Drosophila melanogaster: one gene and its partner. The protein of the gene in region 1 purifies or fractionates together with the protein of each later gene. This does not show direct contact. Each region holds a gene or a part of one and is shown in the gene's direction. Other genes may lie near its edges. The genes, in order: U2A and SmD2.

Region 1 (3,467 bases):
AGGCTCCACCTCCAATAGTGTATCAGTCAGCTCATCCACGAACGCCAACACATCGATGACAGTATTAAACCAGAGCCAGACACGATCACGGATCGTAAGCTCGACCAGCAGCACTGACAGCACCGAGACCATCACAGAGCGCAGCACCACCAGCACTAGCAGCAGTTCATCCAGCAGCTACGAGAAGCAGCATGCCAAGGCCTGTGCCAATTTAATCAGCAACGAAATCCTCAGTATGCGCAACGGACAGTTGGGCGCCAAGTCTGGAAGCTGCGCAGAAAGTGGTGGTGTGAAGCGGATAGCCGGCAAGGAGATCTCCACGCTATTCGAGGTTTGATCTCCGAGGCCGGAGCTGCAATGCGATAACTTTTATTCATCAGCGATCAAAATTGGCTGGCTACTTCGCTTGGTTGATTTCGGTGCTCATCCTGTGCGTCTAACATTCGCATTTGCTGCATAGTGTGTATTCCTTAAGTTGTGTCGTATTAGCCAGTATGCCGCATTTTGCCTGTAATTTCATCTAGTTTGTGTTTGCCTGTTTAGCTCCTATTTAATCGAGCCGTCTAATAGAATCACTCTTCCACTTACCCACAGGAGACATTAGTTGAAGAACTGCAGCAGAGCATGGCGACCAGACGCGGTTTTAGAGACTCGACCTACACCAAGGAGGATGTCGTTGATTTATAAGTGTTCTAGTTATATGCTCAACATTCCCTCACGTCGATCCCTAGTCCTTCACCCAACCTGCCACAGTTTCACGTGATAGATAGTAGGGTTGATGATAACGTTAAGTGATGATACTGATGATAAGGAGGAAATGAGATGAAATGGTGAAGACAGAAGGATAGAGGGAAACAAGGTTGCAACTTATCGTACTGAACCATTAATTTATGTGCAATGCCGCGTGTGTGTTGTTTTCATTTGGCAATTTAGAATGAACGTGATTTATTTATTGATACAAACCCTGATACTTTTATCCAAATTAACCTTTGCATATTTTTAAAAATGTTTTGTGTACTATATTTTATATTTTTATGTATTTAAATCAGTTAAGTGCCAATTATATACAGAATTAATCTACAAATATTTTTAGCGTGTGCTCTACATCAATTTCAATGAAACTAACGAAAATAACGCAATGAATATGATACACTATACATATTATGTAATTCGATTGAGTGTATAAGAACTATTTTAATGGGCTAAACCTAAAAAAATCTAAATGAAATATAATATTTTTTATAACTGCTTCCAAATACAAACTTTATGGTTTATTATTTCCCCTTTTCTGTTTACCTCCCCTATACACATACTTATAGTATTTATAGTATTTAAGCGACAATCCGTTTTCAAATTTTGAGGCGCGTTATGCCGCCAGAAACAAATGCATTTATTTAGAAACAAGGCGGAGACCGACGATCTTATTGATTATTTTCTAAATAGTTAACAATTTAAGAAACTAGGCGAAAACGAAACCGATATAAAATTACTAAGCCATTTAACAACAGAAAACCGAAATCTATAGAAAACTAATTACCCTTATCGCAAAACGATCAACTTCAATTTTGATGATCTAGTAGTTTGCACCAACGACACAGAATATATTCAGAGCAGCGTTTAAACTTTAAACCAGTCCACCACCGACCACACACTTCGAGTTTTGAGTGTATCCCGTTCTCATTCAAAACCCCGAAACGAAATAAGAGAAACTTAACGTGTTCATTAAAGTTAAGCAATTAAAACATCATTGTAATCTATTGAAATTCAAATTAAACGGAAACGATATTGGACAGTAGTGTTATTTATTTATTTTTGAATTTCGAAAGATCAGGGGCCCTATTGGCAGCATTGGAGTAATCCCAGTATTATTACGATATTTAGAATGGTAGAAGCCCAGCAGACCGATAAAATACCAAAACATTGTTACCACTAGATCTATCGATAGCGATGCCGGCATTGCTTGCTATCGGAAAACTGTTCATCACCAACTCGCGTCGGCAGCGAATTGTTTTTCTGCATTTCGGAAAATAAGCTTCAAAAGAGTATAAAAAGACCGAGTAAAGACCAAACGTAAGCATACTATAACTGCCAAGATGGTGAAACTAACGCCGGAGCTGATAAACCAGTCGATGCAATACATAAACCCATGCCGGGAGCGCGAGCTGGATTTGCGCGGCTATAAGATTCCACAAATCGAGAACCTGGGCGCAACTCTGGACCAGTTTGATACCATCGACTTGTCCGACAACGATCTGCGCAAGCTGGACAACCTGCCGCATCTGCCGCGCCTCAAGTGCCTGCTGCTGAACAACAACCGCATCCTGCGCATCAGCGAAGGGCTGGAGGAGGCGGTGCCCAACCTGGGCTCCATCATTCTCACCGGCAACAACCTGCAGGAGCTGAGCGACTTAGAGCCCCTGGTCGGATTCACCAAGCTGGAAACCATCTGCCTGCTTATCAACCCGGTATCCACGAAGCCCAACTACCGCGAGTACATGGCCTACAAGTTCCCGCAGCTGCGGCTACTCGACTTCAGGAAGATCAAGCAGAAGGACCGCCAGGCGGCGCAGGAGTTCTTCCGCACCAAGCAGGGCAAGGACGTGCTAAAGGAGATTAGCCGGAAGTCCAAGATGAGCGCCGCAGCCGCCATAGCTGCAGAGGCGGGGAATGGCAAGGGAAGGGGATCGGAAGGCGGACGACTGGCCAATCCGCAGGACATGCAGCGCATCCGCGAGGCCATCAAGCGGGCCAGCTCTCTGGCAGAGGTGGAGCGTCTATCGCAGATCCTGCAAAGCGGCCAGCTGCCGGATAAGTTTCAGCACGAGATGGAGGCGGTGGCACAGAACGGGGCGGGGCACAACGGTTCGGGGGCCGTGGCCATGGAATACTAGGACTAGAATTATCCGCTCATCTGTCAGCTACCTTATAACCGTAGACCAATATTTTTTAATAAAACACCAAAAGTTGATTCATCGCATTCTGCATTTCGGACACTCAAAAACATATAGAATCTTCTGTTTTCAACTAAGACCGCTGGCCGAAGGATCTTTCACGGAAAGATTCGGGACAATCGGTCACAACAGAAATGCATTTACATGACCGTAATTGGCTAAAAGTTTAACAATCTACAGCGAGTACAAAGGGGACACAAAACGAGAGGAGCTGCTGGCTTATGTGGAGAGTGGAGTGGTGTGGTGTGGACCTGGCTCCTGGAATCCGGTATTGCTGGGGAGTGTTATTAAGATCCTTTCGCCGCCATTATGGCGTCGTAGTGCAGGCCAGTGTAGAAGATGATCCACGTGACCAGGAATCCGGCAAACGACGTCATGAACCCCTCCTTGATCAGCTCCCATACCCCTCCGTAGGCGTCCTCGTCCACGTTCTGAAAGTTTATGGCGTACAGGTAGACGATCCCGCAGCTGATGCCGGCGAATCTGGGGGCGCATTGGATTGATTAAGTGAAGTGA
Region 2 (8,267 bases), on another chromosome or scaffold:
ACCATTTCAGGCCTGGAAAGTACTGTAATGCAAGTACTTGTATTAGTCAGTGTCAGTGACTAATTCCTTCCATACTCCTTTCAATAGGTTCATTCCTAGCCAGTTACTAGCTCACGTTGGTCTAAAAATCTTCTTAAAAGCAAGCCCATAAAAAGAGAGGTTGCTCGGATGACAGGACATTGGGCATTTTTTACTAATCTAGTCTATATTCGATTTAGTCCATCAGTAAATGAAAGATTAAATTAGGGTCATTCCAATGATGTTGAAGAACATCAAAGTCTTTAAGGATATGGGACTATTTAACAAACGCTTAGTTAAATTCAAATAGGTTTCTAATAATCCGATTCTCCAAAATATTGTTCATGTTGGTAAATTTAAATGTAATAAATAGTAAAAGATAAGTTCAAAATAAGCTATGTCATTTGTCAACATTTCCGTAACTCTTTTTTGTAACAATATATAAATTTTGCATGAACATTTTATGGTAATGACACCATTTAAATTGTGCAAAATAGCTCGATATAAAAAACATTAATTCTACAACTAAAAAAAATTACCTATGCGGACCGCTTCAATAAAAATGTCTTCCTAGCTAATAAATATTTTAATAAAGCGAAATAAAAATATGACATTGCATTTTCCTAGTTAAATATTTTTCGTCACAAAAGATGACATCAGAACATTTTTATGGCGATGGTGCGATCGTCACTAGTTTTTAGTAAATAATGAAAAATTTAAATCCAGGAGCAGGATATGAATTAAGGAAGGAGAAAAGTCATTTTACTTAAGTCAACAGCATTTATTTTGGTCCAGCTTAGGGCTGGTCGGTCTGGCCAGCAGAACCACGTTTTCCAAAGTCACATCCCTGGGAACATAGAACTTAAGTTCTGCTTGATATCCGTGGGATCGTAGATGCTCCAGTCGTCCATAATCCAGAACCCGCTTGCACTGTTGGCCAATTTGTTCGCGCTCCTGGCGAGTTAGACGCTGCGTGTTCGTCTCGGTGAGCTGAAAGTCAGCCGATTCCATGGCCTTACGCCGCTCTCGGCTTAAGCCCGTGCCACAAACTGCCCAACTGACCATTTTGGTTAGGATAACGAACTCCCGTGGTCCAATTCCAGCTTCCTGAAGAAACTTGCGTCCCACGTAGGAGCGCCAGGAGCAGCGATGATGACAACACAGGGCGATGAGAACGTAGTCCGAGCTGGCATTTCCATCACCGAGTATACATCTCAGGGTCAAGTCTGTAGCTGCTCCACAGAGGTGCTTCGAAAAAGCCACCGTTCGTTGGGTTTTCTTTAGCTCCGGCAGAGCAGAAAGCTTAAGATCAGCGATATCAGCACGGATACGTTGCACCACCTCCCTGTTGGCCAACTTGTTGTCCTTCTTGTGCCGCAGGGACATTCGATCGATGAGGACCACCTGTGAGTGACTCAACTTCTGTTCCTGCAATACGGTGGCCAAAAAGTAGGCCAATTGTCCCTTTCCGGCTCCGAATTCTATATAGCTCGTGTGATCCATCAACTGGTGATCGTGTTCCAGGATGCCCAGCAAGCTAGTGGTCTGGGTGAGCTGGCGTAGCGTTTCCTGGCCGTAGTCCTTGCGACTAAGTTCCTCCTTTAGGGATTCGTGCTCCAGCTGCAGTTCCTGTATGCTGGAATTGATGTGCTTGTCATACAGATTCTTAACTTTGTCGATCAGACTGTAGAACTCTTCATCCGCCAGTTCGTGCAGTTTTATTTGATTGAATTTGTTCAAATCTTCGTCTGTTTCCTTAAGATTGTCTCCAGAATTCACTCCTTTTACAATGTAGGGCAGTGAACTTTCCTGATCCCTGGCATTGCAAATGGTCAAGTGTTTGGCTAGTTTTCTTTTAAACACGGTATGTTTGTGATCAAGCGGGCAGGGAATACGTTCCTGGAAGGAATCTTCTCTAGCTTTTTCATCGCAAGTTGCAGTGGTGGCTGCCGATGAGGCATGGGCTCCACAAAACTCACTGCCCTTGTTTGCAGTCATCTTGCAGCGGCGCTTTTTGCGTAACACCCAGTAGGAGCAAGTGGTGGTTACCGGCTTCTCCGCCTTGACAGTGGTCATCGTCTCTTTCACAGGTTCCATTCGTTACTTTTATTTTCAAAATAAATTCCTCCCAATTCGGAACTCGTGCCAGGCAGTGTGACCAAGGCTGGCACACTAGATAACACTATTACCAACTTTTCACAAAAATGTTTTAACTATGGTCTTAAATATGTTTACACTTCTTACATTGAATATTTTAATAAGTTTTTTAATAAAAAACTCAAATTGAGCTTGATTTTTCAAAATAATAGTTTATTTAATTTACGCGAATGCCAAACGCCGATAGTTAGCTTTGAAATTCAGGGCTGGTCGAGTGCAAACGTCCTCAGAGCTGGTAACACTGCAAAAAAAACGAAGCCGCGCTGAATACTTTTGCCAACAATAAACGCAGAAAACCAACTGAGAAGCGAAACAAGAAGACTATCAACATCATTTAACAAGCCATAGTTATAATCCGCTATGTAAGTATCCCGGGGCAGATGGGACAAACCATCGGAAATGGCGTAACTGGCAGCGGCATGTGCGCCGGCATTTTGCATTGTTAGCACCACGCTCGAGTTGTGGGTGAAATACTAATGTACTGTGTTCTCTGCAGGGCTCTTGTGAAACCGAAATCGGAGCTGACCCCGGAGGAGCTGGCGCGGCAGGAGGAGGAGGAGTTTAACACCGGCCCGCTGTCCGTGCTCACGCAGTCCGTGAAGAACAACACCCAGGTGCTCATCAACTGCCGCAACAACAAGAAGCTGCTGGGCAGGGTAAAGGCCTTCGATCGGCACTGCAACATGGTACTGGAAAACGTGAAGGAGATGTGGACGGAGCTGCCGCGGACCGGTAAGGGCAAGAAGAAGGTGAAGCCCGTGAACAAGGATCGGTTCATATCGAAGATGTTCCTGCGAGGCGATTCTGTCATCCTGGTCCTAAGGAATCCCCTGGCCACGGCGGCCGGCAAGTAGTCTACCATAGCGATAGCGTACAGCAACCAATATCCATCAACTTCAGTTAATAAATCCGTAAATCAACCAAATAAGTTCTGTGGACCAAAATGTGCCATTAATTAAAAGTGTGAGCTATAATTTACGACGGAAAATATCCCATCCCAGTAACATATCCCATTATAAATTTGTATAACGAAAGTACAATCCGTAATCGCAATTTCTTATATTTTGATTAACATCTTTTAATCGATTTTTCCTAAAGTATCTGTTTAAGATTAAAACGGAATCAATTCTCCGAAAGTTGCTTGTGCAGTTTTGGAACATAGTCGTCGTACTGGGCTTGGTAGAAAGTTCCAGCAATGGGATTGCCCAACTCGTGATTGATGGCAAACTTGGCGGCACTGAATTTGGGGCGATCCTTGCGGGATCTCTTGCTCACGCGCTCCTCGTCGAACTCAAGTTTGCCGGACTGCTTGTACAGCAGGAAGACGTAGCGATGCAGACCCGTGCCCTGGGGCGGGCCGGAGCCAATGTACTCGGCGATGGGCTCACCACTTGCCAAGTCGTTGCCGGCGATGTTGGCCAGAATCCAGTGCTTGAACTCGCGGAACTTGGGCTCCGCTCGGCTGGGGGCATCGGGATCCGTCATAATGAGCGTGTAGAACTCCCCGGGCTGCGCGTCCCACTCCACGACTGGCTGATCCTTAACCTGGGTGGGCGTTAGCTCCACTCCATCCTTGGCCACCAGGTTGTTGCTGTACGTGACCTTGAATAGGAACGATTTCACAGTTATTTGCTTGATTTTTACATTGTTGCGATCTATCAGCTACTTTACTTTAAGTTAGCTACCTTCTGACCTTTGATCAGAAAGTTGTGACGAGATATTTATCTAGATTTCTATTAAGCTCGGGTGTTAAATGTTTGAAATATTTTAACCTGGTCTGCAAGCACGTAGTTGAGTACATACTATTCGGATCCAATTTATTAAGACAAAGATATCCTCTATATATTTGGATCTTTTTAGTGTGCTTTTGTTAGTGGCCCCACCTTTAACAACTGGTTCGGCGGCTCGGGAATAACGTCGGGTACCACCTGGTGGGATCTGAAAACCTCCTCCACGGAGCCAGCTTGAACGGCCAGTAGGCAGCCCACCAATGGCAGTAGCACTCGCAGCATCTTTGTGGAGAGATTATTCGGTAGACGATAAGATCTTGAGAAAACCAATATATAGGAGCTCCGCTTTCGAATAAGGTTGGTCTGCAACTGAAACCAGTTTGCCATGATGCCATACTTTTAAAGCGAAGCTCGAAGCTTTTTGTTTAGTAAACAGCTGGGAAAAAATATACTCAATAATTAAAGTTATCTTTGTTTAAAGTTTCGCTTCGGAGATTATAGATTATTATTATACATTATATTTATTATACATTTATTCATATTATTTGCAAATTATACCAGTTGGTAATAGAGTAATTAAAGGGACTGGATTTGAAAAAAAATATTTTTTAAATATATATTATAGATATTTAGAAATTTATCTGTTTTTACATGATTCTTTTTCTTTACAGCATGCTTTGTAGGGATTTGGGAGCCTAATTATGAGGAGAAAGATACTACTTCTTGCCAGATAGTTGCTTGTATAACTTGGGCACATAGTCGTCCCACTGTGCCTGAAAAAAGTTTCCGGCAATGGGATCTCCCAGCTTGTACTTGCTCATGAACTTGGAGGTGCTGAAATTGGCTCGCTTGTCGCCGCTCGTTTTTGGGATTTTGGGCTCGTTGCAAGTGAGCTTTTGGGGCTGTTTGAAGACCAGGAAGACGTAACGATGAAGCCCCGTGCCTTGCGGCGGACCTGCACCCACATATTCGGTCAAAACTACGCCGTTCTCGACTTGGTTCCCTGGAATATTGACCACCAGCCAGTGGTGCCACTCGCGGAACTTGGGCTCCTTGCGACTGGGCGCATCCGGATCGGTCAGGAGGAGCGTGTAAAAGGCATTCGGATCTGCATCCCATTTCACCTTTGGCTGGCTCTGCACTTGCGTGGGTGTCAATTCACCGCCTACATCCACCACCTGTCCACCACCATAAGTCACCTGGAACAACAAAATGACATGGACGATTGTAGGCGCTATTTGTATTAGCTTACCGTAAGCAAAGTGGCAGGACACGTCTTCAGGATATCCGGCACGATCTTGTGCTTAGAGAAGCACACGGTGGAATCGGACATTTTTAGCTGAGTGGGCAACAACTAAAATGAAATTTGAGGTGCCAGAAAATTTCGTATTTTAAGGCTACGCCGACTTTAATTCTAACATTTCTGGCTGATAGTCAATAGATAGCCAATATTTCCAAAAATGGTGTCCTTGTAATCTGACCTAAATATCCTTATAAGGACATACTTTCAATAGCTTCTTCTGAGATATATTTGGAATTATTTTTATTGGAAGCTGGACTCTAAATTCAAAAGTGTGCTACTTGACGGGCATTGTGCGAGATGGCTTTGATAAGGGATGGGACATCGGGGCTCCATTGGGATGTGAAGAAGTTCCCAGCTACCGGATGGCCAAATCTGTATTTCTTTGCGAACCGCTTGGTTTCAAAGCCACTGCGACCCTTAACCGAGTGCTTCGGCAGTTTCGGGAAGTCAAACTTGGTGTAGTCCCTCTGTTTGTAGAGCAGGAAGACGAACCGATGGGTTCCGGTCCCCTTCAGCGGAGTGGCACCCATGTATCCCACGCGCACGTCCCCAAGGGCCAACAGATTGCCGGGTATGTTGAGGACCATCCAGTGTAGGAACTCCCGGTGCGTGGGTGTTATAGCATTGGGTACGTCCGGATCCACCATCAGCAGGGCGTAGTAGTTTTCCGGTGCCGAGGGCCACTTTACGGAGGGTTCATCACGCACTTGCATGGGTTCCAGTACCTTTCCACAATGTGCTGCTAAATGCCCGTGGTAAGTAACCTTTTGTGGGAGCAATTCAATTTCATAATATGATTAAAAGTATATTATTTAATTTTGAACAGTTGCCTAGAAATACAATTGTTGAATTGGGCATAGCATACATTTTTTTGGTTAAACTAAATTGGAATTCAAATTCTTAGATATCCGAATATTATCTCTTAAATAATTCTTTATGAGATCATTATTTGTGTTTTACTCACATTAAGAAACTCCTGCGGTCCGATGTGTATTACATCTGGTATCACATCCAAGGACCTCATGATCTTGCTCACTTCCGTATCCGACTGATGAACTCCTCTAGTTGATTTGAGGCTCAAGCTTGGCGCGAATCGCATGAAAAGTAGGATACATATGCTAGCCAACATTGTGAACCAAGTCTTTCACTGACTTCAAATTGGCTGATTGCTGGCTTTAAATACCCATTGCATCTAACATATGTTTTCTGCCTGGCCAATTAAGCAGCAAACACAGATGTCAGTTCCATTAAGTTAAGGTACTTTGCAACTTCCTTACAACTTCATAAAACAAATTGTCGTGTCTCAGGCCAATTAATGGTTCACTACCACCACCCACAGCAGTTGCGTGCTGGCGAGTTCTGTAAACATACACTATAAAATCAGTTAGTACCTCGTTTAGTTGACTATTATGCTACGTGACCCCTCATTTACTTGCCATTGCCCAGAGCACTTCATAAGTAAGGCACATCAATGAATTTACTTAAAATTCTATTATATTATATACACCCAGAGAAAAGCCCGCTGTCAACGATCGCGATCTATCCAAGATCGAATCATAATTAGATCGAGATCGAATCATTCTCAGATTGCAAATGACCTTGCACAAAATATAATAAATATTAAGTTATTATATCTTATTTAATTTACCAATTTCCGTACCAAAAAACGTTGATGAATGTTTTAAATTTTTGCATTTTTAATAAATTAAATAAATATTAATTAAATTCAGTTTTTGGTCGTTTTGTGACAAAGAAACGAAGGCAAAAGGACGAAGAGTCAATGAGAAAGAAGATGGTATGAAGAAGATGGTAAAATCAGGCTAAGTGGGGATGTGGTTAGAGCTGAAGAATGGCTAAAACTCTCGCGTTCCTAACCCTAACAACTACAATTATGGCCTGGGGCAGGTTCCGGTTCCATTTGGTCTGTGTGACTCGCAGCCATCCTTCCTGGGAAGGATCGCAAATTCCTTGGTATGTACAATTGGGCGAATGACTTTCCCCGTTTAGGAGGACGAGCTGTAGCTGGACGAAGAACCCGAGGATCCCGACGAGGATCCCGAGGAGTAGGACGACGAGCTGCTAGGATGGTACGAGCTGTAGGCCAGGTTCTGCGAGTCCCAACGGGCATAGGGACCTCCGCTCATGGGCTCCCAGCTGCTGGGATCGTAGGATGAGGCGGTGGTGCTGGGCACTCCGTATTCGCTGGCCGGAACTGGGGCGGGCATGGGCACCATGTTCATCTTCATGCCTCCCAACTTCTGGATAAGGTTGTAGATCAGGAAGCCCAGCACCAGCTTGATGGCAATCTTGGACAGAATCAGAGCCTTGGTGGCCTTCAGACCGATCAGAGCCAGCAAGATGGGCATGATCACCTTCAGCTTGAACTTCATCAGCAGCAGCAGGGGCAGGAACAGCTTGTCCTTGTTCTTCTTCTCAGCGCGACCTAAAGGAATTACTTATAATTACAATCGCATTACATATAAAGGGTGATTTTAGCATGACTACTGACCCTCATCCTTGGGCAACTCCAGATCAAAACCGCGATCCGAGCGATAGGTCACCACGGAACCAGCGAAGAAGGTCTGTGGCAGCTGCAACCTCATCTCGTTGGTGTTCAGAATGCGGCCCAGGCGGTCCACAATGACCTTGTCGATTACATCGTCACCCAGGGCGCGTCCGCTGACCTCCTCCTCCACATTGGCTACCGTGTCCAGGTAGGTGAGCACCTTCTCCTTCAGGCAATGCATCGCATTGGCATGGAAGCACTTATCCACAATTGTCGAGATCAGCTCGTCGGAGCTGTGGATCCGCGGGGTCACCGCGTTCTCGATGGCAGCACCGGACACGGATGTGGAGGCCACCAGCAGCAGCGCACAACCGAACGCGAGCAAGGACGTGGAGCGGAAAGCCATTGTGTTTCCAATCGAAAAAGATACAACTAGATATTACTGACACTACCAGAGCGCGTAGTGTTCACTGTGGAGTCGATGCGGCGACAATGTTGGATGATTCGCCGTTTGGTTCGCGTTTTATACTGCCGCTCCCCCAAAGCGCCAAAG

What was found.
Region 2: the proteins of U2A (region 1) and SmD2 purify together in Drosophila melanogaster (affinity purification with mass spectrometry, with the first as the bait; one large-scale study listed by BioGRID). This does not show direct contact.

What each region holds. Positions count from the first base shown.
Region 1 is NT_033778.4:7,674,862-7,678,328, reverse strand, and holds U2A (U2A), read left to right. Parts: upstream 1-1,966; 5' UTR 1,967-2,093; coding exon 2,094-2,891; 3' UTR 2,892-2,967; downstream 2,968-3,467. Other genes in the region: LRR (Leucine-rich repeat), read left to right, coding at 1-331, 595-687; CG12107 (uncharacterized protein), read right to left, coding at 3,239-3,434. UniProt on the Drosophila melanogaster protein: Involved in pre-mRNA splicing as component of the spliceosome. Associated with sn-RNP U2, where it contributes to the binding of stem loop IV of U2 snRNA.
Region 2 is NT_033777.3:6,340,041-6,348,307, reverse strand, and holds SmD2 (small ribonucleoprotein particle protein SmD2), read left to right. Parts: upstream 1-2,396; 5' UTR 2,397-2,535; coding exon 2,536-2,537; intron 2,538-2,671; coding exon 2,672-3,029; 3' UTR 3,030-3,297; downstream 3,298-8,267. Other genes in the region: CG18048 (uncharacterized protein), read right to left, coding at 790-2,115; CG17919 (uncharacterized protein), read right to left, coding at 3,298-3,777, 4,059-4,187; CG10298 (uncharacterized protein), read right to left, coding at 4,622-5,104, 5,158-5,238; CG17917 (uncharacterized protein), read right to left, coding at 5,472-5,972, 6,173-6,307; Osi20 (osiris 20), read right to left, coding at 7,212-7,651, 7,718-8,120.